Sus scrofa: one gene and its partners. The protein of the gene in region 1 purifies or fractionates together with the protein of each later gene. This does not show direct contact. Links are inferred from orthologs where the notes say so. Each region holds a gene or a part of one and is shown on either strand. Other genes may lie near its edges. The genes, in order: SF3B1, EIF4A3, PRPF4, USP39, SRRM2, ZC3H18 and SNRPB2.

The links.
Region 2: the proteins of SF3B1 (region 1) and EIF4A3 purify together in Homo sapiens (co-immunoprecipitation; 3 studies listed by BioGRID and IntAct, with this or other methods). This does not show direct contact. The link is inferred for Sus scrofa from reciprocal best matches to the Homo sapiens genes SF3B1 and EIF4A3.
Region 3: the proteins of SF3B1 (region 1) and PRPF4 purify together in Homo sapiens (co-immunoprecipitation; 3 studies listed by BioGRID and IntAct, with this or other methods). This does not show direct contact. The link is inferred for Sus scrofa from reciprocal best matches to the Homo sapiens genes SF3B1 and PRPF4.
Region 4: the proteins of SF3B1 (region 1) and USP39 purify together in Homo sapiens (co-immunoprecipitation; 3 studies listed by BioGRID and IntAct, with this or other methods). This does not show direct contact. The link is inferred for Sus scrofa from reciprocal best matches to the Homo sapiens genes SF3B1 and USP39.
Region 5: the proteins of SF3B1 (region 1) and SRRM2 purify together in Homo sapiens (co-immunoprecipitation; 3 studies listed by BioGRID and IntAct, with this or other methods). This does not show direct contact. The link is inferred for Sus scrofa from reciprocal best matches to the Homo sapiens genes SF3B1 and SRRM2.
Region 6: the proteins of SF3B1 (region 1) and ZC3H18 purify together in Homo sapiens (affinity purification with mass spectrometry; 3 studies listed by BioGRID and IntAct, with this or other methods). This does not show direct contact. The link is inferred for Sus scrofa from reciprocal best matches to the Homo sapiens genes SF3B1 and ZC3H18.
Region 7: the proteins of SF3B1 (region 1) and SNRPB2 purify together in Homo sapiens (co-immunoprecipitation; 6 studies listed by BioGRID and IntAct, with this or other methods). This does not show direct contact. The link is inferred for Sus scrofa from reciprocal best matches to the Homo sapiens genes SF3B1 and SNRPB2.

Annotation. Positions count from the first base shown.
Region 1 is NC_010457.5:101,285,820-101,289,804, reverse strand, and holds part of SF3B1 (splicing factor 3B subunit 1), read left to right. Parts: intron 1-735; coding exon 736-933; intron 934-1,083; coding exon 1,084-1,185; intron 1,186-1,606; coding exon 1,607-1,786; intron 1,787-2,988; coding exon 2,989-3,075; intron 3,076-3,195; coding exon 3,196-3,466; intron 3,467-3,752; coding exon 3,753-3,898; intron 3,899-3,985. UniProt on the Homo sapiens protein: Component of the 17S U2 SnRNP complex of the spliceosome, a large ribonucleoprotein complex that removes introns from transcribed pre-mRNAs.
Region 2 is NC_010454.4:2,305,894-2,309,878, forward strand, and holds part of EIF4A3 (eukaryotic initiation factor 4A-III), read left to right. Parts: intron 1-807; coding exon 808-949; intron 950-1,482; coding exon 1,483-1,621; intron 1,622-2,575; coding exon 2,576-2,691; intron 2,692-3,985. UniProt on the Homo sapiens protein: ATP-dependent RNA helicase. Involved in pre-mRNA splicing as component of the spliceosome. Core component of the splicing-dependent multiprotein exon junction complex (EJC) deposited at splice junctions on mRNAs.
Region 3 is NC_010443.5:253,912,377-253,916,361, forward strand, and holds part of PRPF4 (U4/U6 small nuclear ribonucleoprotein Prp4), read left to right. Parts: intron 1-1,132; coding exon 1,133-1,220; intron 1,221-1,639; coding exon 1,640-1,719; intron 1,720-1,892; coding exon 1,893-1,986; intron 1,987-2,826; coding exon 2,827-2,921; intron 2,922-3,985. UniProt on the Homo sapiens protein: Plays a role in pre-mRNA splicing as component of the U4/U6-U5 tri-snRNP complex that is involved in spliceosome assembly, and as component of the precatalytic spliceosome (spliceosome B complex).
Region 4 is NC_010445.4:59,146,541-59,150,525, reverse strand, and holds part of USP39 (U4/U6.U5 tri-snRNP-associated protein 2), read left to right. Parts: intron 1-489; coding exon 490-559; intron 560-3,760; coding exon 3,761-3,855; intron 3,856-3,985.
Region 5 is NC_010445.4:39,281,889-39,285,873, reverse strand, and holds part of SRRM2 (serine/arginine repetitive matrix protein 2), read right to left. Parts: intron 3,960-3,985; coding exon 3,867-3,959; intron 3,183-3,866; coding exon 2,984-3,182; intron 1,822-2,983; coding exon 1-1,821. UniProt on the Homo sapiens protein: Required for pre-mRNA splicing as component of the spliceosome. As a component of the minor spliceosome, involved in the splicing of U12-type introns in pre-mRNAs.
Region 6 is NC_010448.4:1,078,370-1,082,945, reverse strand, and holds the start of ZC3H18 (zinc finger CCCH domain-containing protein 18), read left to right. Parts: upstream 1-1,417; 5' UTR 1,418-1,601; intron 1,602-4,576.
Region 7 is NC_010459.5:25,367,457-25,370,816, forward strand, and holds part of SNRPB2 (uncharacterized protein LOC768116), read left to right. Parts: intron 1-2,320; coding exon 2,321-2,461; intron 2,462-3,360. UniProt on the Homo sapiens protein: Involved in pre-mRNA splicing as component of the spliceosome. Associated with sn-RNP U2, where it contributes to the binding of stem loop IV of U2 snRNA.

The DNA of each region.
Region 1 (3,985 bases):
CTATTGCTCTTTAACAGTTGGTATGTATGTAATACCCCCCTCCCCCCTGTTCAGTTAGCATTAGAGTGTCTATTTTAAGTATGCATGGAATTACTGCTTTATAACTTATTTAAAGACTCCATGTAATGCTGTGGGCGTAGTCAGGAGCCTACTATCAACTACCTGGGTGTCTGTCTTAATTGCATTTATTGATTTCTTTATCAGTAGGAGGGGGAAATCCTCTGTGAATCTGTAGTGAATTTTTTGGGGTTTAGTCAAACGGTGTGTATTTTACAGGGCTTTGCTAAATATTTTGGTTTTAGTGTTTATGCAGTCAGCTCATTTTTGTAGGGCAACTTAAGTAGCGATTTGCTTTTATGATGCAGAGATTTATATGAATGATTTCTAATTTTTATTAAAATATGAACATTTATACATTATATATGTGCACTGTGAGCTTATTTTCATTTATGACATTGGCTCAGTAACACGTTTACATAGATTGTTTGAAAGTGATGAGAATTTCATAAGCCTACTCTGTGTATCTCTTCATTCCCCCACACTTCTGATAAAGTTAATTTAAATTCAATAAGAAATATTAATATTTGTCATATTTTAAAATGAAGACAGAAAAGTCAAGTCAATGTTAATTAATTCTTGTCTCTAAGCAAAAAGCTTCCTAAGTGCAAATATTATTCAGTTATGTTGTTCTTTATAAAGTTAAGGAAATCCTAAACCGTCTTTTAATTCTATTAGGTGCTTCCTCCTCCAGCTGGTTATGTTCCTATTCGAACTCCAGCTCGAAAGCTGACAGCAACTCCAACACCTTTGGGTGGTATGACTGGTTTCCACATGCAAACTGAAGATAGAACTATGAAAAGTGTTAATGACCAGCCATCTGGAAATCTTCCGTTTTTAAAACCTGATGATATTCAGTACTTTGATAAACTCTTGGTAAGTGATAATAGCAGAGATAAAATAGTAATTTTTAAAAAAGGTTTACTGTTTTAAATTATAGTTGATTTAAAAAGTGTTACTTTTTATTTAGTTGTTAAAAATCTTAATCTCCACCTACCTTTTAAATTTTTTACTTTTTCCTATTAGGTTGATGTTGATGAATCAACCCTTAGTCCAGAAGAGCAAAAAGAGAGAAAAATAATGAAGTTGCTTTTAAAAATTAAGAATGGAACACCTCCCATGAGAAAGGTAAGTACCAGTTTATTAAATCATCACGTCATGTAGTCTTAGAGATACTCCATTTTATCCTCAGAGCCTGAAGAGTCTAAGGTAATTACTGGAATTATTTGAGGGAATTGTATCAGAATTTAAAAAAATTTTTTTTTATTATAGTTGAATTGCATTGTGAATTGTATTAGTATTATATGTGGCTTGAAGATGATTGATTCTTTAGGGGAAGTTGAGTTTTATGTTACACTCTTACTCTGTTATCCTTTTTGAATTAACTGAAAACATTTGAGCTTTGATTATAGGAGTTCAAACTTCAGAATAATTTTGATGGGAATAAACTTCGTTCCACTAGTTAGAGAAAACCATAGAATAACTAATTTGCTTATGCAAAATGTTTATTATAAAGAAACATGCCTTTATAATTTTTTTTTTTCTCCAGGCTGCATTGCGTCAGATTACTGATAAAGCTCGTGAGTTTGGAGCTGGTCCTTTGTTTAATCAGATTCTTCCTCTGCTGATGTCTCCTACACTTGAGGATCAAGAACGTCATTTGCTTGTGAAAGTTATCGATAGAATATTATACAAACTTGATGATTTAGTTCGCCCATATGTGCACAAGGTTTGTTTTCAATTTGTGTTTCTAATGGTTTGGTGTTTTTAACATAAAAGGAATTTGTGGACTTTTTTTTTTTAACCAGCTTATTAGATGTATTTATGAAAATTTAAAACTCTAAAACAATAATAGCTGATGGTATACCTTTATTTTTTTATTTTTATTTTTTTGCCTTTTCTAGGGCCGCTCCCGTGGCACATTGAGGTTCCCAGGCTGGGGGTCTAATCGGAGCTATAGCCACTGGCCTATGCCAGAACCACAGCAAGGCAAGATCCCAGCCATGTCTGCAACCTACACCACAGCTCACAGCAATGCCAGGTCCTTAACCCACTGAGCAAGGCCAGGGATCGAACCTGCAACCTCATGGTTCCTAGTTGGATTCATTAACCAGTGGGCCATGACAGGAACTCCGTACTTTTATACTAAAAGGGGAAATTTCAGCCTCTTTAAAATTATTCAGTAACCAGTGTTAAATTTACATACCCTCCAGATCTTTTTCTTTTTGCACAAGCATGCCTCACACATGTACAAATATATACATAAATAGATGTAACTTTTTGCCATCTTATGTGTTGGGTTCATATTACTCATATTTTAAAATCTGCTTTTCTTGATATTAGGATGAGAAAATATGTGTTTCTCTACTGTGCCACTTAGTGCTAAGAACCATTTTTTGCTGGTAGTAATTATGACTTAGAATTGTAAGTTCAGACAGGTGTGTGTGTATATGTGTGTGTTTAATAGTCTGTATGGTTGGAGTTCCCGTCGTGGCGCAGTGGTTAACGAATCCGACTAGGAACCATGAGGTTGCGGGTTCGGTCCCTGCCCTTGCTCAGTGGGTTAATGATCTGGCGTTGCCATGAGCTGTGGTGTAGGTTGCAGATGCGGCTCGGATCCCGCGTTGCTCTGGCATAGGCCGTAGGCCGTAGGCCGGTGGCTACAGCTCCGATTCAACCCCTAGCCAGGGAACGTCCATATGCCGCGAGATCAGCCCAAGAAATAGCAAAAAAGACAAAAAAAAAAAAAAAATAGTCTATATGGTTAACAGTTCTCTCAAATATTCATCTTTATGTGGGGTTGAAATTATGTGATTAAAATCCTAATTTATCCCTTGATTAACAACTTCTTGGCCAGTATAAATTTCCTGTACTCTGTCCCATGAGTATTGCATCAGTAATTGGTGTGACAGTGTAGCTTCTCTTTTTCAGATCCTAGTGGTCATTGAACCATTGTTGATTGATGAAGATTACTATGCTAGAGTGGAAGGCCGAGAGATTATTTCTAATTTGGCAAAGGTATTTATATTTCTGGAGAAGAAAGTTTTATATTAGTTGATGGGATTATTTGATTATAGAAGGAACTGTTTGGGGGGTAATGTTATCAACTCATAACTGTGCTTTTTCTTAAACTTTTAGGCTGCTGGTCTGGCTACTATGATCTCTACCATGAGGCCTGATATAGATAACATGGATGAGTATGTCCGTAACACAACAGCTAGAGCTTTTGCTGTTGTAGCCTCTGCGCTGGGCATTCCATCCTTATTGCCCTTCTTAAAAGCTGTGTGCAAAAGCAAGAAGTCCTGGCAAGCTAGGCACACTGGTATTAAGATTGTACAGCAGATAGCTATTCTTATGGGCTGTGCCATCTTGCCTCATCTCAGAAGTTTAGTTGAAATCATTGAACATGGTAAGTTGTGTTATAACTTTGTTTTTTATAAGACAGATTTCTTGAAATTTAGGCTACAGATTTTGGAGCGAGAAATGGAAGTGAACTGCCTAAACACCATATAGTTTATGATGGGATTTTTAATAGTAGCTGCTCATAGGTTGTGGTTCATACTGGCTTTGGTCTAACTTTGTCTAATATGAACAGCTTCAGTTTGACTTAAGTTGTTATGTGTATCGCTAGAATCTTGATATTATAGAAACTAGGTAAAGTTACTCAGTGGAAACCTGTGTTTGGTTTTTTATAGGTCTTGTGGATGAGCAGCAGAAAGTACGGACCATTAGTGCTTTGGCCATTGCTGCCTTGGCTGAAGCAGCAACTCCTTATGGTATCGAGTCTTTTGATTCTGTGTTAAAGCCTCTATGGAAAGGTATACGCCAACACAGAGGAAAGGTAGATCCATCAATTTGATTTCATTTTTCTTTTTATTTCTACTTATTGAAGTGACTTAAATCTAATGTAACAAATTTGTATTTTCAA
Region 2 (3,985 bases), on another chromosome or scaffold:
TCCCCACCTGCACTGGTGGACACGCACATCAGGCTGGGCCTGCAGGGCGGGAGCCCTGACCTTCTGTGCAGGTCACTCTCTGTGCCGGCTGCTTAACTCCTCCCCAGGCTTCGTAGCTCCCCTCCGTCCTGGCGGAGAACTTTCTGGGTGTGGGACCTTTCCTCCTCAACAGCGTCCTCCCAGGGCCGCAGGTCCCGTCTCAGTTCCCTTCACTCCTCCCCGATTATGGGGAGGTTTTCTTGCCCTTTCAGAAGTCTGAGGTCTTCGTCTAGTGTTGAGTAGATACTGTGTGAGAATTTTTCCACGTGTATTTTTTGACATATCTGAGGGAGGAGGTGAGCTTCATTTTGATCGTGCCCCCCCCCCCCGAGGTTTTTAAAGTGAAATTGACATGTAACATTTCCAGGTGGACCGCGTAATGGTTTGATGTCTATGGGAGTATTTTTTGGTGAAAATCCAGATGTTTTAAAATGTGGCAATCTGGCCAGAGTTGATGCAGATCCTTTCAGGGCAGCAGCAGCTGGAACTGAGTCGTCATCACCTGCAGGGGTCCACGTTTGTTGGCCTCTCGGGGCTCGGGTTTCTGTTGCTTTTAACTGTTGGCATCCAGGACTCTCGGGGGTGGGGGGGCCGTGATCCCACCCGGGAGATGAGAGGGGATGCGAGAATTTGGTCCAGCTCTGCCGGAAGGTTCCTCGTGACGTCTGCACCTCACGACGACATCAAATGCGTTAGATTACGTGTGAAGAGTTGGCGTTGGATTTGTGCAGCCTAAAACTTCCCCGTGTGTCTCACCCTTTGTCCCAGGGTTCAAAGAGCAGATCTACGACGTGTACAGGTACTTACCCCCGGCCACGCAGGTGGTGCTCATCAGCGCCACGCTGCCCCACGAGATCTTAGAGATGACCAACAAGTTCATGACCGACCCCATCCGCATCTTGGTGAAACGGTGAGGACGCCCTGCTTTGCAGATGGGACTGAGGCAGCATAGTTGTATTTGGGGTTTCAAACGTGAAAACTATTTATCCTTTTCTCTTTTGAAAAGCCAGGTTTGAGGATATTTCTATAACTAGAGCAATGGAAATAAAATTGTAGATAGTTTGGGGGAAAGGCCAGCTTTTATACATTCTCTTTTGATTCAGTAATTCCAGATTTTAAAATTTGCTGATAGTGTTTACATATCAACAAGATTATTTATCATTGGTTATGATATTATTGGTTATGTACATATTATTGAACAGCTGAACATTTGAAACCACATACAAGGTTTGGTGGTTATTAAAGGTTCAGACTGATCCAGGCTGTTAAAGGGACAGCAGAGGTGCTGGCTCCTGGGAGGATGTGGCTGGCGGGAGGGCAGGGGTTTAATGACCAGGCCCCTGGGCTGCCAGGGTCGGGCTGGTGCTTGGACAGTGCCTGGCCTGCATGTGCTCTCAGGTCCTTTTGGAAGGATGAGTTGACAGGCTTGTCTTTGTCCTGCAGTGATGAACTGACTCTGGAAGGCATCAAGCAGTTCTTTGTGGCCGTGGAGAGAGAGGAGTGGAAGTTTGACACCCTGTGTGACCTCTATGACACACTCACCATCACTCAGGCTGTCATCTTCTGTAACACCAAGAGGAAGGTACGCGCCCCTTTAATGTCCCTGAGGCAAAAACTGAAGATGGCTTCTCACAGAACCTAGGTCAGACTCTGTGTCAGGGGCCAGCAGTACCTGCGTTAGGCTTTCAGCACATGGTCTCTGGCGGCCACGGTGTCTGCTCTTTAGCTCTAAGTCTTCGTGGACAGTGGGTAGACACGTGAGCGTGTCCAGGATGTTGGTCCGGCCCCACAGCTGAAGGCTCAGGGCCATTGGTTCAGGTGGGATGTGGGCCTGGTTCTGTGCTCCCAAGTGATGCTGACGTGCAGGCAGAGCTGAGAACCCCTGGCAGGTCTCTTTGAACCACATTCCAAAGAAAGTGTGAATTTACATTTCAAATGAGAACAGCGATGTATTGTCCTTTTTTTTTTTTTTTTTAAGGGCCACATCTGCAGCATGTAGAAGTCCCCAGCCTAGGGGTCTAATTGGAACTGCAGCTATGGGCTACACCACAGCCACAGCAGTGAGGGATCCCAGCAACATCTGTGACTATGCCACAGCTTGTGGCAGTGCGAGGCCAGGGATCAAACCCACATGGTCATGGATACTGGTCAGGTTCTTAACCAGCTGAGCCACCAGTGGAACTCCCAAGCCAGGGACTATCTGAGCCACAGTCGTGACCCAAGCCACAGCTGTGGCAGTGCAGGATCCCTAACCCACTGTGCCAGGCCGGGGATTGAACCTGTATCCCAGTGTTCCCATGACGCTGCCGATCCTGTTAGGCCACGGCGGGAGCTCCACCCGCCTCCCCTGCCCTTGTTTTTTTTCTAGAGAATTTTTTGCCCTGATATGTGCTGGGCAAAATTCCAGTGGAGATTAGCCTGCGTTTTCAGATCGCTTTCTGAGTATTCGCATTGGCTCTGCAGGAACTGACAGGACATCCTGAGTACAGTCTCTGGTTTGTGAGCTCATGGCAGCATCTGCTGGTTCCGTCTGTAGGTTGACTGGCTGACGGAGAAGATGAGGGAAGCCAACTTCACCGTGTCATCCATGCACGGGGACATGCCCCAGAAGGAGCGCGAGTCCATCATGAAGGAGTTCCGCTCGGGTGCCAGGTGGGTCAGCTGTGCCCTCTGCCCTGGTCCCGGTGCAGGTGCAGCCGGCCAGCGTTCACGGGTGGTTCCGAGTTCTCCCCCGCAGCTGAGCTCCGGGAGGTCAGCTTGGGGGGGCTGGGGGTGTGATGGATTAGGTTGAGGTGAGAACTGGCCTTCGCTATGTAGGTTGGCTGCCTTACTGAGAAACTTACTTTGCTGTTTCCACATATAAATCGGGATTTTCTGTTAATCTTTTTGTATTGGTTGTAGCTTAGTTCCTCTGTAGTCAGAGAACTCGCTGTGTGTGATTTCAGCCCTCCGTGGGAATTCAGACTTGCTTTCTGTCCCCGCATGGGGGTCCTCTTACAGACCTTCTCTGTGCTCGGACCAGACGGGTGCTGTGCGGTGCTGGCGCAGTGCGCTTGCCTGTCTTCTGGCTTTCAGCTGCCCGCTCTGTTTGTCAGAGCTGCATCCCCCCCCCGCCCCCCGCCTTACCTCTGTTTCATCAGGGTTGAGGCTGCTGTCTTCCTCTTGGGGGTTCTGTCCATTCTTGCTTTCTGTGCCGAGACTCTGTGTCCGAGTTTAGCATGACTGGATCTCCCTCCAGAGGACTTAGCTGTCACCGCCAAGTGTCTGCCCTCCGCTGCTAGTGCTGTTCCCAATCCTGCTGTAGGACGGACCCCGCGTGCTCGGTGACTTCTTAGCAACCACCGCCCCCGCCTCACATCCGGTTTGCAGGCTTAAGCTTTAGGTGGATTAAGTAGCATATAGTTGGGTTTTGTTTTTCCTTTTCTTTTCATGTGATGATGATTGCTGTCTTTTAACTGGAACATTTAGTGTAGTTTCATTTAACGTAAATACTGACGTATTTGGGTTTAAATGGACCGCCTTGTAAGTGCATTTTACTTGTCATTTCTTCCTGTGATTCTCTTTCTTTAGTTTGGATTTTGTTATTATTCCTCTCCCCACTTCTCATTTTGGAAAATGTTTATTTTAGTTAGTGGTTGCCCTGGAGAGTCGTCAGCCGCTGTCTCCCCTGACTGCACAGAGAACTTGAAACCCCGACTTCAGTGACCCCCCTTCTCCACTTCTTTCGCTTCATGTAATGAGCTTTTCCATTTAGGGACGCGAGGCCCACACTCGTTATTCTTCTCGCTCCTGGGAGCTTCCATCAGGCTGCACTTCCTTCTGCCTGAAGAACGTCTTTCTGTATTTCGTTTGGGCTTTCGCTCGTAGCAGAGTAGCAGTTCCCTGGCGGCCCAGCAGGTCAGGATCTGGCGTTGCCACTGATGTGGCTTGGGTTTGATCCCAGGCC
Region 3 (3,985 bases), on another chromosome or scaffold:
CTCCAGACCTTAACATTTGTTGAACCTTCTGTCTCAGCTGTCCTTTCTCATTCTTGACCTACTGACCTAATTAATTGAGAACCTTCATGAGGCCTTCACTGATTCCCTTCAGGCCTAGGTTATTTTTTATTTATTTGTTTATTTTCTCTTTATGACTACATCTGTAGCACATGGAAGTTCCCGGCCTAGGCATCAAATTGGAACTGCAGCTGCCAGTCTGCACCACAGCCATGCAGGATCCAAGCTGCATCCGTGACCTACACCGAACCTTACTCCAAGGCTGGATCCTTAACCCACTGAGTAAGGCCAGGGATGGAATTAGCATCCTCATGGAGACTATGTTGGCTTCTTAACCTCCTGAGCCACAGTGGGATCTCCCAGGCCTAGGCTGTTTACTCCTTCTATGATTCCCCTTAGCAGCCTGGGCTTACCACTATCATAACACTTAATGTAATGTACTATGGTTCCCCAGTACTTTCTGTATATCCTGTATCCTGTCCACCCTCACCTCCACCCCCGCCATGCTACTTGAAATCAAGAACTGTTTCCTAGTCTTTTTTTTTTTTCTTGGCTTTTTAGGGCTGCACCCACGACATATGGAAGTTCCCAGGCTAGGGGTCAAACCAGAGCTGCAGCTGCTGGCCTGCACCACAGCCACAGCAACTCAGATTCCACGCTGCATCTGCGACCTACACCACAGCTCACGGCAACGCCAGATCCTTAATCCACTGAGCAAGGCCAGGGATCAAACCCGTGTTCTCATGGATACTAGTCGGATTCATTACTGCTGAGCCATGATGGGAACTTCCGCTCAGTCATTTTTTATACTCAGCACCTGAGTCAGTATCCAGCACATTGTGGCGTTGAGTGATTCACAGCCCAAGTGGTAGCAGTGGTGGGGCTGGCTGACAACTAAGTTGAACAGGGTGATTGCTTTTAGTTCAATTTAGGGACTCTGCAAATCAAGACCTCTGAGTGGAAGAAATCACACAGGAAGTTCAGGCATCACCACGTGACTCCTAAAGAAGGTGGCCTGGGTTTGAATGGTGAGAGAGTAGGGCTGACTTGTCCTCTTCTTAGAGAGACTTTTCACAATCTCACCTCTATTTAAATCTGATCTTTTTGGTAACAGGTTAAGAAACATCCTCTCAGTGGTCGGTACTGATGCCTTAAAAAAGACCAAAAAAGATGATGAGAAATCCAAGAAGTCCAAAGAAGAGGTAAATATGTCTTCGACTTCATAGTATAAACATGCAGTGAACAAGGGGGTAGTGCTCTCGTCTTCTGCTTTCGGTGGTTTACTTTGCTAGATTAGGGGACGGGGAGTCGAAGACTCTACTGCTCAGAAAGAGTTGTTGGCAGTAGTTTGTGGTTCCTGTGTAAGTCTAAATGGAGGTAAGTCAGTTTCCCATTCAAGACAGAACCATAGCATTCTTGGTGTCGCTTTTAATAAGGAACCAGAAACCATCCAATGAGAGTTCATAGAAAGAAACACAGGAGAAGGCACATGTACCTGATTTCGTCCTATTCCTGAACCAATTCACCTTTTTTCTGGGCAATTATAATAGGAAATTGACAGCAATAAAAGGGGTAGGCATTGCTTGAGACTTGACATTTCTACTCTTAATTTAACTTTCAGTATCAGCAAACCTGGTACCATGAAGGACCAAACAGCCTGAAGGTTGCTAGACTGTGGATTGCTAATTATTCACTGCCCAGGTAAGGAGAGCCTTGAGAGGGAGGAAAGAGCATACTTTTTCTTACTTCCTCTCAAAGACTGAGAATCTGCTTTATAATTACTGTGGTTGTTCATTAAAGTTGAGTGGTAGAGAGACTTGTGTGGACCCTTGTTTCCAACCCCTTTGCTCAGGGTGATAATGCTTCTGTCACAGGGCAATGAAACGCTTGGAAGAGGCCCGTCTTCATAAAGAGATTCCTGAGACAACTAGAACCTCCCAGATGCAAGAGCTGCACAAGTCTCTCCGGGTGAGATGCTCTCAGCGATTGTCCAATGTCTTGAAGATTCTTAAATATTTATTAGATGTTCTACTTTGGCCTGTCTCTAGCAAGTGAAGCCAGCTATGCTTATCCTTCTCTGCTTACACTGTTGCTGTTTGCAAGAAGCTATCAGTTAAGGTGGCAGGAAGCTAGTGTCCTTTGTACTCTGCAGAGTCCTGTGCTTCTACTCTTCAGTTCTCCGTTTTAATACATTAGACTGTACTTTAGATCTTGCCATGGCTTTCCTGTTTTTTGGGGGGGTTTGGTTTTTGGGGTGGTTTTTTTTTTTTTGTCATTTTAGGGCTGCACCTGTGGCACATGGAGGTTCCCAGGCTAGAGGTCTAATTGGAGCTACAGCTGCTGGCCTATGCCACAGCCACGGCAATGCCAGATTCGAGCCGAGCCTGCAAGTCTGCACCACAGCTCATGGCAAGTCGGATCCCTAACCCACTGAGCAAGGCCAGGGATTGAACCTGCAACCTCATGGTTCCTGGTCGGATTCGTTTCCACTGTACCACGATGGGAACTTCGGCTTTCCTGTTTATATTTAGCTGACAGAAGCTAGTGATACTAAGACTGTAGAAGACAGCTGGATGGAGTTTCCATTCATTCATTGATACAAATGTCTCCTACCAAAAAAGGGTGGAGTAATCTACGAGTGGGTTTGAATTGGAAAGGTGTTGGGAGGGTTTTTTTGTTGGGGGTGGAGGCACAATGGGGAGGGTTGGGGTGTGTGTATGTGTATGTGTGTGATTTTTTTTTTACTGGTGGAAAATCCAAGAAGGTCTGAGATTAGCCTGATAATGATCCTTTGTTTGTCTTTTTAAGTCTTTGAATAATTTCTGCAGTCAAATTGGGGATGATCGGCCTATTTCCTACTGTCACTTTAGTCCCAATTCCAAAATGCTGGCCACAGCTTGTTGGTAAGTCCCATTTTACAGTGCCATTTTTTTTCTAAGTGGGGTTCGGGGAAAAAAATCAGCATTGGTCTTACAAAGCCATTTCTATACCATTTGCCTCTGCTTCTCATGGCCACACCACGCTCGAGAGGTCAGTGCTCATTCATTGTATTTTACAGCAGAGCCTTCAATTAGCAGTTCTTAGTGTTCCCAAGGGACCCCAGAGATCCCTGACATGTCTGTCGTGTCTTGGTACTTGCATCATTTTGGAGCAGGTATATAAGTGAGCTTATAGACTGGCTACTCTGCCCATCTCGATACAGCTTTTCTTTTTTAGTTGTGTGACTTCATCTCTGTAATTCAGTTTCCTTATTGGTAAAGGTGAGATCATGTTTGTAAAGCATTTTGCCGTGATAGTGCCTAGTAGGTGGTAAGGACTCAGTAAACACGGATTATTATTTTTATCTTCATTTTGTTTTCCATTTGCCACTACATGTGCAGAAAACTCTTAGAGAGTGATAACTTTGTTGTTTTGTTTTATTTAGTTATTTAGTTAGTTCTTCTTGTGGGAGGGGAAACGTCTTTTATATTATACACACAGGAGCTCCTTGACTAGGCAGAAATTGAGACTGTGGTTCAGGAGAAAGCCGAGGACCTACACAATTCCCTCCACCCCTCCACGCCTCAGTTACCTTCATTATAAAGTAGAAATGATCATTGTCATAGGTCTGTCATAAGGATCATTTGAGGTGATAGATATGAAAATAATGTATTGGAAATTTTCCATAATAAAGCCTTTTTTTTTTTTTTTTTTTGCTTTTTAGGGCTAAACCTATGGCATATGGAGGTTGCCAGGCTAGGGGTCCAGTCAGAGCTACAGTTGCCAACACCACAGCCACAGCAACGCAGGATCTGAGCTGCATCTGTGACCTACACCACAGCTCAGGGCAACACCGGATCCTTAACCCACTGAGCGAGGCCAGGTGTCGAACCCACAACCTCATCGTTCCTAGTCAGATTTATTTCTGCTGTGCCACGACAGGAACTCAAAAGTAAAGCTTTTTTAAAAAACTTTAAGTATTTTAAAA
Region 4 (3,985 bases), on another chromosome or scaffold:
GGTCTATTTCAGCTTTGACCTTGTACTATTTTCTAAGAGGTTGTAACAGTTTACACTCGCACCAGTAGTCCCTGAGCATTCTCACTGCTCCATATACTCATCAACACTTTAAATTTCCTAATTTATTTTTTTCCTCTCTGGTAGATAGGAAAGTATATTGTTGTGCAAGGAGATTTGCATTTTCTTGATCATTGGTGAGACTGAGCATCTTTTCATATGTTTGTGGGAAGTCTTCCTCATTTTCTGTTTGGTTGTCTTTTTAAAAAATCTGTTCACTGGCTTTCTTTAAATAATTGCAAGCAATTCCTTTGTTGGTTATGTGTGTTTCAAGTGTATTCTCTCAGTTTGTGGCTTTTCTGGGTATTGTCAGGCTACCCATACAGGAGCTCGTCCTGATTAGTTTTCCCTATCACTGTGTTTGTTTCTATTGGTAGTTGGTCCTGAGTATGGCTTTCCCATTTTCAAAGCTGTTGATGATTTTCCTTTCAGCAAAGAATGGCCGCTTGGATTCTGAGGACCAGAGGAGCCGCCACTGCCCATACCTGGATACCATTAACAGGTCTGTAGCACAGGGATGCACTAGCACAGGGATGCAGAGGGCAGCAAAAGAACAGTGGAATCTGCAGAAAGTTCTTTGGGCTGTATGTTGAGCAATATGTTCAAAAACTTTATCTCTTTTAGGAGGAGTTCCCGTCGTGGCGCAGTGGTTAACGAATCCGACTAGGAACCATGAGGTTGCGGGTTCAGTCCCTGCCCTTGCTCAGTGGGTTAAGGATCCGGCGTTGCCGTGAGCTGTGGTGTAGGTTGCAGACGCGGCTCGGATCCCGAGTTGCTGTGGCTCTGGTGTAGGCCGGTGGCTACAGCTCTGATTGGACCCCTAGCCTGGGAACCTCCATATGCCGCAGGAGCGGCCCAAGAAATAGCAAAAAGACAAAAAAAAAACTTTATCTCTTTTAAAGCTTTCTGGGAGTTCCATTTTCACTCAGCAGGTTAAGAATCCAGCGTTGTCAGTGCTGTGGCTCTGGTTACAGGGGTGGCATGGGTTCAGTCCCTGGCCCAGGAACTTCCACATCCCATGAGTGTGGCCAAAAAAAAAGGCTCTCTGCCCAGAAAATTCTACTTCTTGCCATGTTTTTTAATCTTTGCCCTTCAGTTTATTTATGTATTTATTAAAAAATTTTTTTTCCATGGAGTTCCCGTCATGGTGCAGTGGTTAACAAATCCAACTAGGAACCATGAGGTTGCAGGTTCGATCCCTGGCCTTGCTCAGTGGGTTAAGGATCCGGCATTGCCGTGAGCTGTGGTGTAGGTCGCAGATGTGGCTCAGATCCTGTGTTGCTGTGGCTCTAGCGTAGGCCGGTGGCTACAGCTCCAATTCGACCCCTAGCCTGGGAACCTCCATATGCCGCGGGAAGCAGCCCTAGAAAAGACAAAAAAAAAAAAAAAAAAAAAATTTTTTTTTTCATTATTGGCTGCCTCTCAGCCAGGGATCAGATCTAAGTTGCCACCTAAGCCACAGCTGTGGTAACACTGGATCCATAACCCACTGTGCCTGGCCAGGGAGCGAACCTGTGTCTCATTGCTTTTAGGAAGCTGCTGATCCCATTGCATCATAGTGGGAACTCTTGCCCTTCAGTTGAAAGTGTCAGAGGGCATGTTTTTTCAGGGTGGGCACATGCACAGAGAACTTGTAGTTCATTTTGAATTTGTATGAGGAAGTAAAGGGATACACTGTGTCAATGACAATAGCAAATTTAAATATTTATTGAACACCCGCTCTGTGCTAGGTATTACGCTAGGTGCTTGGGATTCAGCAGAGAAAAAAAAAATGTCCTAAAGCAGAGGTGGTTGCCTCATCCTGATATTTTTTGATCCCAGATGCATCTTAGGATGATTTTTCATACATGCTTTCGGGTAACTCTGTCTAATAGACTTTTTTTTTGCACCAATGGAGTGGCTCTTTAGGGCTGTTCATTGTGGTAGGCACAAGGCACCTGTGGCTACTAACCACTTGAAATGTTGGCTTGAGTAATTGAATTTAAAAATTCTATAAAATTTTTTATTGGCTGCACCCTTCACATGCAGCACGTGGACGTTCCCAGGCCAGGAATTGAACCTTCACCAGAGCAGCCACCCGAGCCCCTGCAGTGACAGCCCTAGATCCTTAACCTGCTGTGCCACAGGGGAACTCCCGTGAATTTTAAATTTTATTTAATTTTAATTAATTTACATTTAAACTCCAGTAGCCATGTGTGCCTCGTGTCACCTTTAATGGACAGTGCAGCTGTCCTAGGACCATTACTGATTAATTAGAGTTAATACTTGAGAAGGAATCCCTTTGCCACCTGTGGATTCAGTAGAGGTAAATTGTTTTTTTTACTAATAATTTTTATTTTTTCCATTATAGCTGGTTTACAGTGTTCTGTCAATTTTCTACTGTACAGCAAGGTGATCCAGTCACACATACATATATACATTCTTTTTTCTAATAATTTTTTTTTTGTCACTTGTCTAGTGTTCATATACCATGACTTGAGGAGATAGATCTGTTTTTGGGTATTTCCCTAAAATTCTTCAGACTTCTCACTTATTTTTATGGCCTTCTTAATAAATTTTTCTTTTATGAATGGGTTTATTTGCTCTTTTTATGTCATTTTATGCCCAGTCTTTTCATTTGAAATGCTGTTGGCACTGTGTTACTTTAGTCCTACTTGTAGCTTTCCTTCCAGAGAAGGTAATAGAAGATTCTCATCTGGTTGTGAATACTAAAAAGAAAGAGGGTCATTGATAAAGATATCTCTTTTTTTAAATTAAAAACTTAAAAAAAAATTAATGGCTATATGGGAAGTTCCTGGGCCAGAGATTGAATCTAAACTGCAGTTGGGACAAAGCTTGATCCTTTTAGTCCACTGCACCCGGCCAGGGATTAAACCTGTACCTCTGCAGCAGCTACTCGAGCTGCTGCAGTTGGATTCTTTTTTTCTTTTCTTTTTTTTTTTTTAGGGCTGCACTTGTGGTATATGGATGTTCCCAGGTGAGGGGTTGAATCAGAGCTGCAGCTGCTGGCTTATGCCACAGCAGTGCCAGATCTGAGCCACGTTTGCAAACTATGCCATAACTTGTAGCAATGCCAGATCTTTAGCTCAATGAGAAAGGCCAGGAATCATCATGGATACTAGTTGGGTTCTTTTTTTTTTTTTTTTTTTTTTGTCTCTTGTCTTTTTCGGGATGCACCTATGGCATATGGAGGTTCTCAGGCTAGGGGTCTAATTGGAGCTGTAGCCGTCAACCTACACCACAGCCACAGCAATGCCAGATCCGAGCTGCATCTGCGGCCTACACCACAGTTCACGGCAATGCTGGATCCTTAACCCACTGAGCAAGGCCAGGGATCGAACCTGCAACCTCATGGTTCCTAGTCGGATTCGTTTTAACCACTGAGCCAAGATGGGAATTCCTACTTGGGTTCTTAACCCGCTGAACCATAATGGGAACTCTTGCAGTCAGATTCTTAACTCACTGTGCCACAGTGGAAACTCTGATGGAGATACCTTTACACTACTTTGGGGCTTGGTGGGTGGAGGTACTGTATTAAATGTCTAGGTAATGAAGAGTTCATGTTTCCCATGATTTGTATGTGGTTGTTGAGCCATTCTCTGAAGGATGCTACGTGGGAACACGGAGCCAATGCTGCTTCACTCGGTGCTTGCCTAGGCATCCATCCCTATTAATTGTTTCTGTTTTATTTTGGTTCTCTTAGGAGTGTGCTGGACTTTGACTTTGAAAAACTGTGTTCCATCTCTCTGTCACATATCAATGCCTATGCCTGTCTGGTGTGTGGCAAGTACTTTCAAGGTAAATAGATGTTTTGCATTACAGACTTGCTGAATCTTCAGTGCTAACCACAGGTCTATTGCAGAGAGTCGTTTTTTGAAAGAAAGTAAGCTGCTATTAGGAATCAGGTCTAATAACCCCCATCTTTGTT
Region 5 (3,985 bases), on another chromosome or scaffold:
GCATGGAGACTCTGATCTGCTTTGCCTTGGAGGAGTTTTAGATGTCACTCTACTAGGACTTGGAGAAGAGAAGCCAGAACGGCTCTGGACTGGTGACATGACCGCCTTCACTTTGGGTTGTGGAGATGATGACCCAGATCGGCTCCGTCTTGGAGGTGAGCTAGATTTCACTCTAGGAGAAGACTCAGAGCAGCTATGTCTCAAAGGGGTCCTGGACTTCACCTCAGGGTCAGGTGATGACTCAGAATGGCTCCGTCTCTGTGGTGTTGCAGATTGTTCATTTGCCTGAGGACTTGTTACGGACCCCTGCCTCGGTGGTGTTCCAGATTTCACTTTAGGTTGAGGAGATGAACTGGAACGACTTTGTCTTGATGGCGTTTTAGACTTCTGATGAGGAGGCAGAGAAGAACCAGAGCGACTTCGCCTTAGCGGTGTTCTACCTTTAGGCTGGGATGATCCAGAGCGACTGCGCCTTGGTGGTGTCTGAGACTTTTGTTTAGGGCATGGAGAGGACCCCGAAAGGCTTCGTCTCAAAGACAAGTGAGATTTTGCTTTGGACCTTGGTGAAGAGAGAGACCTGCTCCGCCTCGAAGAAACTCGTGATTTTTTCATTTCTGGGCTTGAGTTGGACCTGCTCCTTCTCTGAGATGTTCTGGATTTGTTCTTCCGCTCTGATGATGAGCCAGACCTGCCTCTTCTTTGTGGCGTTCTAGAGTGAGATCTTCCCCGTCTTGCTAGACTTCTACTGTGCGACCTTCTTCTTGTTGGTGTCCTAGACCGAGATCTCCCTCTCCTGGCTGGTGTTCTAGAGCGAGACCGACCACTTCTTCTAGCTGGGGTTCTGGAGCGTGACCGCCCACGCCTGGCTGGGGTTCTGGAGCGTGACCGCCCACGCCTGGCTGGGGTTCTGGAGCGTGACCTGCCACCTCTCCTGGCTGGTGATCTACTACGAGACCTCCTTCGTACTGGTGATCGGGTCCTAGATCTGCGCCTAGCAGGGGTTCTAGACCGAGACCGGCCCCTTCGGGCTGGTGTTCTAGAACGAGATCTGCGCCTGGTGGGTGTTCTAGATCGTGACCTCCTCCTGGTGGGTGTCCTAGACCGAGACCGGCCCCTTCGGGCTGGTGTTCTAGAACGAGATCTGCCCCTAGTGGCAGGGGATCTAGAGTGTGACCTGCCTCGTCTTGCTGATCTGGACCTGCCTCTTCTCTGTGCATTTCTGCTCCTGGACCAGCCTGGTCGCTGAGGGGACCTAGAGCGGCCACGGCGCTGGGGGCTTCTAGACCGTCCCCACCTCTGTGCAGACCGGGACCTACGCCACTGAGGTGACCGGGACCGAGAATGACCTCTCTTTGTAGGGGTTCGTGACCGAGATCGCCCCCTCTTAGTGGTAGTAGGGCTACGAGACCTCCCCACCCTACGAGAAGGAGTATGAGAATGTGACTTATCACGCTTTGCTCGGCCACGTGAGCGACTTTTAGGTGTAGGAGAAGAAGAAATCTCTCGGCGGGACCCAGAAGCTGGTACAGGTTTAGGACTTTCAGGGGAAGAGCTGGCATGTCGAGAAACTTTAGTAGGTTGAGGGGATGGTGGACAGCTCTCTGAAGATGAATGGGGAGGTTTCTCAGGAGACTTAGGTGGTGAATGGCCCTGGGTTGGTGAAGCCTCAGATGGGGGGTTCACTGGCTCCTGACTTAAGGGGGTTGTTGCAAGGGGTTGTGGGGAGCCGCCATGTTGCTCAGCAAGGAGCGGAGTAGGAGCAGGTGGTTCAGGCCCTGTGCTGCTCCTTTCCGGAGAGGGGCTAGATCGAACTGCAGATTTCTAAGAGTAGAAAAGAGAGTAAGGATAGGCATATGTAAGCACCAAAACTTCCCATCACCTGTAAGATCCCAACCCCCTTTCCAATGAAACATTTCCTCTACAAACCCCATTATACCAACTTGTCCTTTTCCTCACCACAAGCAGTCACATCATCCAATAACAAGAAATCAAATACTTTAAAAAACAGTGAGAAACAAAGATATAGTCTGTGACCTCAAGTGTTTTATAACCTAGACAAAGAACAGAAAGCTAACTACCATTACTACCATTTCACAACAACCATCATAAAATGCTGAGTGCACAAAGAGTATTTTTAAATGGTGAGATAAAACACTTTCCCAAAGTGACTCACTTCACTGCTAAAAAAATAACTATATTTAAGTAAAAGAACAAAGACAAAGGTTTGAAAACATGATTTACGTGAACATGAAAAGACTAGGATAAAGTACTGAAAAACAGGAAAAGCAACCTAGTTATAACAGCCTTAAATATAGCTAAGGCAAGAGCAATATAAAGTAAATTAAGTCTCTGAAGCAGCCCAACTTGTAGTTTAGAAAAGTAACTTCTGGATAACACAGAATGAGCGACAACCAGCATTTAAAAAACAGACACTAAAGAAGTGCCCATTGCGGCTCAGCAGTAATGAACCCAACTAAGGAGGACACGGGTTCAATCCCTGGCCCCATTCAATGGGTTAAGGATCCAGTGCTGCCCTGACCTACGGTGTAGGTCACAGATGCAGCTTGGATCCCAAGCTGCTGTGGCTGTGGCACAGGCCAGCAGCTGCAACTCCGTTATGACCCCTGGCCTGGGAACTGCCATATGCTGCGGACCTAAAAGGAAAAACAAAAACCATACGAACAGATACTAGCAAGGTTAATAAGCAATAAAAAACTTTTGTTCAAGTTCTATCAATGTACATGTACAAACAGGATAGTGATGTAAAACCTAGTAATAACCACTCAAGTCTGAAAGACACAATTTAATGGATTTTGCAGATCTGGAAGAGAACTTGATGAGTGACTGAAACACATGCAGAAAACAAAACTCATTCCACTTCTCTTAATGAGTTCTCAGTTCTCTTTCACTTCAAATACCTATATCCTAACTAAAACCATAGCCCTGAAACCCAATGAACACATCCATTAACTCAGGAACTCACCTCCTTCTTGTCTTTACCCTTGTCCTCATAAGGACTGCCAGGCTGTTTTGCAGAAGGCTCCGAGCTACTAGGCTGCCCGGTGTTGGCAGTACCTGGTTCCCTGGAAGGCGCATCTCCCTCCCCTCGATGCCCAGAAGTAGGGGAAGGGCTTCTGCCAGTCAAGGTAGTTGTATGGGTTTTTGCTGCAGCACTTCGAGACCTGAGGGGGGTAATTGAGGATGGGAAAAGAGGAAGGAAATCAGTTCAGGGGAGAATGGAAAACCCCCTCCCCAGCTCCCATCCACCTTTCCTGACTACAACCCTTTTCCAAGAAATCTCTTATTCACAAGATTCAAATCACTCATACTGAAATTCAAGTCCAGTTCGCTTCGTTCCTTCTCCTCTCAGCATCAATCCCCAAAGATGTTCTCCCTCTACCCCTTCATGTTTACCTCCCCCAGACCCCCCAAACCCCTCCACCCAGTCCATTCCCTACCCACTTCATTCACAACTCACCTCTGAGCCCACCTCCTTCAGGAAGCCTTCCCCGATTAAGGAAGCCAGGGTAAGGATTCCTTCCTCCCCCAGACACCACGAACAAACCACCACCCCCCCTATTCTGGCAGTCCATATACATCAGAACAAAACAAAACAAAAAAATAACAAAATAAAATAAAATGAACAAAAGAACAAAAAACAAAAACAAAAACAAAAAAAAAAAAAGAGAAGGGGAAATGTTTATGTCTGTCCATCCTGATGCTTTAGCCTGTCAGCTCCTAGAGGGCAGGGACCGTGTCTTCCGAATGGTCTGTGCAGCGCCTAGCACACCGTGGGCGCTCAATAAATATTAAATTGATTAACCCACATGTCCCTCTCCCTCCCCGCCTCTTGGACCACACCTTACCGACTTCGAGAAGTATCAGAAGAGGAAGCAGAGTCAGCAGAAGTTGAACGATGGGCCCGTCGGCTCTTGGGAGCTGGAGTCGTACTTCGAGACCTGAAGGGAGACCACCGCCACAGCTC
Region 6 (4,576 bases), on another chromosome or scaffold:
AGTGCTGACCAGAAAGCTCCAGACTAAAGGATTTAAATTTCCACTCCTGGGAGGGGCTGAAATTTCAATTAGATTAGTCATGAAGTCTGGTTAGGCTTAGCATAAGTGACTCCATTTTGGGGCTGTTGTTTTCATTTTTTTAATTTAAAAAAATTTTTTTTATTTTTTATTTTTTTGTCTTTTGTCTTTTTACGGCTACTCCCAAGGCATATGGAAATTCCCAGGCTAGGGGTCTAATCAGAGCTGTTTCTCTTTAAACAACATTGGGAATAGTTAAAAAGTTTAAGCTTTGACATTTAAACTCAGTATCTCAAAAATGATTGTTTTGTGTTGGATCAGTTATATTTGATAAAGCAATAGCTATTTAGTTACACAGAAATAGTTTCAAATGTTTCAGCTTTGACTTTTTTTTTTTTTTTAGGGCCACACCCTCAGGATGGAGGTTCCCAGGCTAGGGATCTAATCCGAGCTACAGCTGCCGCCTACGACACAGCCACAGCAAGCCAGATCCGAGCCGCGTCTGTGACCTGCACCACAGCTCACGGCAACACCGGATCGTAAACCCACTGAGCGAAGCCGGGGATCAAACCCCCAACCTCATGGTTCCTAGTCAGATTCATTTCCGCTGTGCCACCACGGGAACTCCTAGGCTTTGACATTTTAACTCGCTATCTCGAAAATGATCATTTTGTTTTGAACTGATTCTATCTAACGGAAGGGGGGATTTAATCCCCCCAAAACAGTTTAAAAAGTTTAATCTTCGTTATTTAAACTCATTTCCTGGAGTTCCCGTCGTGGTTCAGCAGAAAGGAATCTGACTAGCATTCCTGAGGAAGCAGGTTCGATCCCTGGCCTCGCTCAGTGGGTTAAGGATCTGGCACTGCAGTGAACTGTGCTACAGGTCGCAGACACGGCTCTGCCCCCTCGTTCCTGTGGCTGTGGTGTAGCCCGGCAGCTACAGTTCCGATTTGACCCCTAGACTGGGAACTTCCATAAGCCGCGGGTGCGCCCTGAAAAGATTAAAAATAAAATAAACTCATTTCCCTGAAAGGACTAACTTTGGATTGGGTGCGCAGCCCCCCTGCGCGGAAGCTCCCCACCCGGAAGGGGGCAGGTAAGTTCTTCGCCCCACCTCCCCGGGACCCATCTCCGCGCGCAGCTCGCACAGCGGGGCGGGAACCCGCCGGCGCTCACGCGTCACGTGACCCGGAGGCCCGGGAAGCTCTCCCAGCCGCACGACGGCCGGCGCGCGCGTCCTGAGACCCGCCCGGGAGGCGGGGCCTCGGCCGCGCCTGCGTCCTGTCGGGTTCAGGCGGGCGCGCGCCGCGGGGGCGGGGCTGCGAGGAGGCAGCTGCGCGGAGGCCGGAAGGAAGCGGGCGGAGGGCGGGGCAAGAGAGGTAAGCCCGCCCGGCCCGCAGGACAACCGTCGCGGCCTGATGACGTCGCACAATGGCCGGCCCCCGCGGGTAGTGGAGCCCGTTTGTTCCGCCCGCGTCGCGCCTCAAGCCGGAGCCTGTGAGGAGCGGAAGGGTCGAGGGACGACTTCCCCACGCCGCCCCGACCTCCGCGGAGCCGTGGCCCCCCCTCCCTGCTCTCGTAAGGTAAGTGGTGGCGCCACCACGGAGGCGGGGCGGGTAGAAGGAGGAGGCCGAGGCGGCCGGGCGGGGAGCGTGGCGGCGGCGCGGAGCGGAGGCCGGGGAGCCCCGCCGCCTCCGCCTCCGGGGAGCGCTCCAGGCTGCCCGCGGCCGAAGCGTGGTTCTCGAGCCCCAGGAAGAGGACGTTGACTCAGGCACGATCCTGCGCTCCTTTCGCTGCGAGCCGGCCGGGGACCCTGGAACCCTTTAGCCCGAGCGCACGGCGGCTGCCTCCGCGCCCGCCGTGGAGTTGATCTCCCGAAGCTGTCATTTCTCTTCCGGGACATCCGCGTGGCAGTGTTTGCCGCCTACAAAGACCGGGGGAGGGGGCGGCGGAAGGAGGCACGCAGGCTCACCCTCCGGACTGGGGATGGGCTCTTCAGGAGCTTTGAACTCTCTCGAGCCTCTTGGAACTTGCCCCCTCGGCTTCCCGGTGGCACAGGTTGGACCTATGCGCTGCGCCCCAAGATGCGCGCCACTCTTTGGAGTAAACTTCCTTTCCTTTGGTAAGGAGCCCAAAGGATGCCGGGTCATTGCTGGGGGGACGTCAGACTTTAAGACTTCCGGCTTTGCTCCTGCGAAAACTTCAAGTTTTCCTGAATTCTTACGACAGCTGAGTTGGCCAGGTAGAATGGTCGATTATCTTAAGTGAGCTGTTCAGCTCCATCTGTTAGAGTAGATCAGCCTTCGGATCTCTTTGGGGAGAATGGAAGGAGAGGGCTTTTGGGGGCACAGCAGTGGCTCTCTTGGTTTCTCATCTTCACGTTGCCTTTGGAGTGGTCCTTTCCCAGAGCGGAGATTGGGATTCTCAGGGTGAGTCTGGACCTGGGCTGATTCCCATTTCCCCAACAGGAAGTCTTTTCCTAGTGATTTTACAGTCTGAACACATGTGTGGAGCCCAGCCAGCTCTGAAACCATTCAGATGTGTCCCAGAGGTTAAAACCCCTCAGCCTCTCCAATTTGAGGTGGGAGATGGTGAAACATTTTATGAAAACTTTGTGGAATCGTTCCCGAGAGCAGAAGAGTTTTTGGGTTTGTTTTTTTTTTCCTTTTTCACTGATCATCTCGAGGTGAGTGAGTGCATCCTCCCTGAGGGGTCATTTGGGGTCAGGCTTGGTCAGGTTGGGGACAGTGTCTGTCACCAACCCACACATCCTTCCTTTGGATGTTTTAAGTCTATGAAGTTATGATTCTGCATTTTCTTTTTGTCTTTTTTTTTTTTTTGCTATTTCTTGGGCCGCTCCCGCGGCATATGGAGGTTCCCAGGCTAGGGGTCCAATCGGAGCTGTAGCCACTGGTCTACGCCAGAGCCACAGCAACTCGGGATCCGAGCCGCGTCTGCAACCTACACCACAGCTCACGGCAACGCTGGATCGTTAACCCGCTTAGCAAGGGCAGGGATCGAACCCGCAACCTCATGGTTCCTAGTCGGATTCGTTAACCACTGCGCCACGACGGGAACTCCTGATTCTGCATTTTCTTTTTTTTTTTTTTTTTTTTTTTTTCTTTTTTTGGCTTTTTAGGGCTGCACCCGCGGCATATGGAGATTCCCAGGCTAGGGGTCCAATCAGAGCTACAGCTGCCCTGCTGGCCTACGCCACCGCCACAGCAATGCCAGATCCGAGACGCGTCTGTGACCTATACCACAGCTCATGGCAACGCCAGATCCTTAACTCAGTGAGCGAGGCCAGGCATCAAACCCGCAACCTCATGGTTCTCAGTCAGATTTGTTTCCGCTGTACCAGGACGGGAACTCCTGAATCTGCATTTTAACTAGGCGTACCAGACTTGAGCATTCAGGTAGGGCTGCTCTATTAAAAGTTGTTAGCCTGGATGGTTATGTTTATATTCATTGGCGCTCCTTTGCCAAACCTCTTTCGAAGTCCTGTTTTTGTAGTAAATATATAAGCCTTGTTTGGGATATGTATCAGTCTCATTCCGTGGTCACACCCCACGTGTGACCAGAAATGCTCTTACCTTGCTTGGGAACTCACCCCACTGACCAGACTAGGCTCTGCACTGGTTTCTTTGAGAGGAGGAAGACATGCTGCCCTGGAGAGTGCCAGGCTCTGAACTGGTTTCTCAAAGTGATGCCACTTGAGAGGAGGAAGATGTGCTGCCATGGAGAGTGCCAGGGAGGTGCTGCAGGTTCGGAAGGTCACTCGGGAAGGAAAGTTCCCACGTGCCGTTCACTTGGAGTCCAGGTGTAGCCTTCCAGAGCGACTGCTGGGAAGCAGGACAGCACCCGCGGGGTCTGAGTTCCAGCGCGCTCTTCAAAAAAGGAGACGCTTGGTTCCCATGTCTTCCTGGTGCCCAGGAAGTAGTTGATCCAGTGCGAGACTTGTCACTGACTCCACAGGCAGCTGTCAGTGACCGTCACTAAATCTAACATGCTCTGGGGACTCTCTGGCCCTTGTTCTTCTGTTCTCCAGGCGAGTTCCTGTCTGTGGATCAACGCACTAAAGCCTTCTAAACTCTGCCAGTAATGCTGGGTTATGGGGCGATTGTGGGAGCAGAAGAAACTGAAAATTGTGAGCCTAGGAGTCGGTGAGGACGCGACCGCAGGTCCTTCCATTTCCGCGTGTGCACTTAATAGACCAAGGGTTTTCCTGGCAGCTGACATAGAGCACGTGTTCAGATATTTGCCAGATTAAATTAATCTCAGAACAGGACACTCATGCCCAGAGAGTCTGTTAACTTCCCCAGAGCAGGGCTGGGAACACCCTTCTGAGCCCCAGTGACCTCCCCCATCCGTGCAGCAAGGTGTGATTGAGGTTGCCTCTGATAAGTAGATGGGTTCTTTGGCATGTTTTCCTCTGCAAGCTGATACCTGTGTGTCGCCTCAGATTGTAAAATCCGGAAGGTTCCATAGGGAGAGAATGATGGGAGTCTTCCTCGGGAGATTGTCAAGGCATCCTAAGGGCGCCTGTGTGTCCCGGTGT
Region 7 (3,360 bases), on another chromosome or scaffold:
AACGGTTTTTTCCTCTTGAGGTTTTTAGGTCTGTTTTGCTAAGTTGGGATGACAAGGTTGCATGACTGACTCAGATCCAGGAAAGCTGAAAATTGTTCACTGTGTTTGGCCCTGGCTTCACCTTGCCAACTAAATTTTTAAAATCAATGGAAAAAGCCCATTAGACTGATCTCATATTGAAGGTATTTTAGGAGGTCCATTCTCTGCCTTTAGGAAAGTAGTAGTTGCTGCCAAGTCGCCAGCATCCTGGAAAAGGAAAAGAATGTTCCTTGAGCTGTCTTTACTTAGGTGGTTTCAGTTGCTCTTTAACTCAACATACCAGATTAGAAATGAACAAAAATTTATATAACTTGGAACTCAGAACAAAATTATGCTCTGTGATTCAAGGATATTTGGATATTTAATTTCCAAAGTAGCTCAGTAAGACAGAACCATCTTCCTAAGGGCTTCTGTAATGAAACCTTTGGAATAAATGTAAATCTTGCGCCTTCTCTAAGTTGTGAATGGACTTTTATCCTATACCAGGATTTAGTCTAGACCAGGGCTTTTCAGCATCTGATACTTGGGGTATTTGAACTGAATAGTTGCTGGGGCTGCCTTGTTGGTTGTAAGGTGTCTAGAGCACCCCTGGCCTCTGCCCTCTTAGCATGACAACCCACTGTGCCCCCTTTCAGCACTGCCAGCTGTCTCCTGGGGGCGGATTCTCCCCTGATTGAGAACTGCTGCTCCAGACCAGCCTGCTGAAAGCGAGGATTCAGGGCAGAGGTATTCTCAGGCCACAGGGACAAATACAAGACCACCCAAGATCTGTTTAGGTCAACAAGGAGGTTAAAGACCCAGGGTAGCTGGGAAGGAATCCTTGGGACCAAGTCAGAGTTAGTCCAGACCTGTCCCTTTCCATTAGATGACGACATGCAGGATTATCAAGAGTTGATCACAGCTAAGTCCGTGGTCTAGTGGCTAGAGCTTTCATAGGAAGCCTTTGGGACTGAGCGGTCCTGGGAGGCCTGCTGCCCTCTCATTCTCCTGTACATTCATCTCTAGCTAATGTAAAAGAAAGGGAGTTCCTGCTGTGGCCTAGTGGGTTAAGAACCCAACTGCAGCAGCTTGGATTGCTATGGAGGCATGGGTTCGATCCCTGGCCCGGTGCAGTAGATTATAAAGGATGGGGCTTTGCTGCAGTTGTGGCTCAGACTCAATCTCTGGTCCAGAAACTTCCATTGCCATGGGTGAGGCCATTTAAAAAGGGGTGGGGTGGGGAAAGAACTGCTTGGTTGTGACACATTTCTTGCTTTAAAGCCTGCATTACTTTAAAATGTCACTTGTTCCCTTCAGACTGAAATCAATTTCTTGCCATACGGGACAATTTTAGAGAGAATTGATAGGGCTGTGGTGTTTTGGTATGATCACAGAGGTAGTTTCGGCTCTTTGGGTGCCAGGGAAGAAATATTCCCTTGAATTGGAAGTTGTAGTTTGCAAATAGGCACACCTGGATGACAGCATAACTTGTAGCAAAAGTTTTGGGACAGGTAATTGGTATGAGACTTAGCTATGTGACAGTGCCTTAGGGCAGGGCCATACTGCTCATGGTGTGCCCCCTCTCCCAGATGCCCTCTGTGCTTGTTTTAAGTACAGACTCTCAGGCCTCAGCGGAACCACTGCATCAGGATCTGCAAGTTCTCTGGGTAATTGGAATGCATGTTAAATTTGATGAAATGTAGTCCTAGACCAGGGTGTTTCCATGCCTGCTCCCTGGTGTGTGCTATGCCTCCTGGCTATGGCCTGTCAATCAGGTCAGTGTTGTAGTTGCACTAGCTATGTTGTCATCCTTTTGTTTCCTTTCAAAGCTTTTAAAATTTAAGTTGATGCCCCCATTAGTCATTTCATTTAAAAATAATAGCTCAGATTCAAAGGCAGGTCTTTCTCAATCTTTGGTACTTTAATTTCGGAAGTAACAATCCCATGCATATTTTGACCTTCTGTTGAGCATCCTTGCTAAGGGATGGACAGCTTTCCAGTGCAGTTTTCTCTGTTTTTTTAAGTGGAGGAGAGCAGTGGTATGGATATTTCAAAGTCCCGTTTTCTCATCTGAAAATATATGGTTTTTTCTTCTAATACACATAGCTGAATCTAACTTTGTCTCACTTGTAAATCATGGGCCACAATTTATTTTCATTTGGAGCTCAGTGTATTTGACATTTCCTTAAGGATGTGTTTAAAATTAGCTCATATTTGCTTAATGAAATTTGCAAAATTAATGACAAGTGTAAACAGGCTTCAGCGGAGTGAAAAGTAACCTGTTTTCAAATAATTAAAACAGCGAATCCAGTATGCAAAAACAGATTCTGATATAATATCTAAAATGCGTGGTACTTTTGCTGACAAAGAAAAGAAAAAAGAAAAGAAAAAAGCCAAAACTGTGGAGCAGACTGCAACCACCGTGAACAAGAAACCTGGTCAGGTAAGATGGGCAAATGTTCATATTTTTTTGGTGTCAGAAAATTTGATAGTTCTTTGTCTTCCACTTGAGGGGTGATCTTTGGGGCATGCTTGTGCATCTCTGTGTGTTTGAGGTGGATTTTTAAGAAGCTAGAATGGTTGAGTTCTAACATTTGTAGATTTGTGTTTAAGCAACACATTATAATGTAAAACTTTACTTATGGCAGATATATATTAAACAGTTTTATTTGAATTTGCCTGACATTTGGTTCCATCATTCTCCAAAATATGTTAATATCTATTGGCTTATTTTTCAAGTTCTGTGTATAAATAATGCTATAGATGTTACCTTGTAATCATGAGTATTCCACTCAAAGCTGCTTTCTTTGAACAGTTCAGGAATTCAAAATCTAATTCAAAATACTAGATAAAGGTGAAATTATCATCCAAAAAGTAGTTACTTTGAGATTGAAAGTGATTACAAATCAGTTTTACTAAGTATGATTTTTTGCTTTTTTGTGTATTTAAAAAAAAAAGTGAGAAAGACTAGTTCTTGGCTTTTCTCTTATATATTTCTCCATAATTTTAAAGCCTGGAGGTTGAATTTTATGATATAGTCTAAAGTTAGGGCTAGACCTTTCAAAAATATTCTACTATACATAAATGTTTGAGTGAGTTTTTGAAATGTAAATTTGCAGCAAAAGTAAGGTAGAATAAAAAAATCTGTTAATCATACTTTTATGCAGTAATTATAAATGTAAATATCTGCTGGGGTTTTTGGGGTTTTTTTTGTCTTTTTGCCTTTTCTAGGGCCGCTTCCTGCGGCCTACAGAGGTTCCCAGGCCATGGGTCTAATCAGAGCTGTAGCTGCTGACGTACACCACAGCCACAGCAATGTGGGATCCGAGCCGCGTCTGCAAC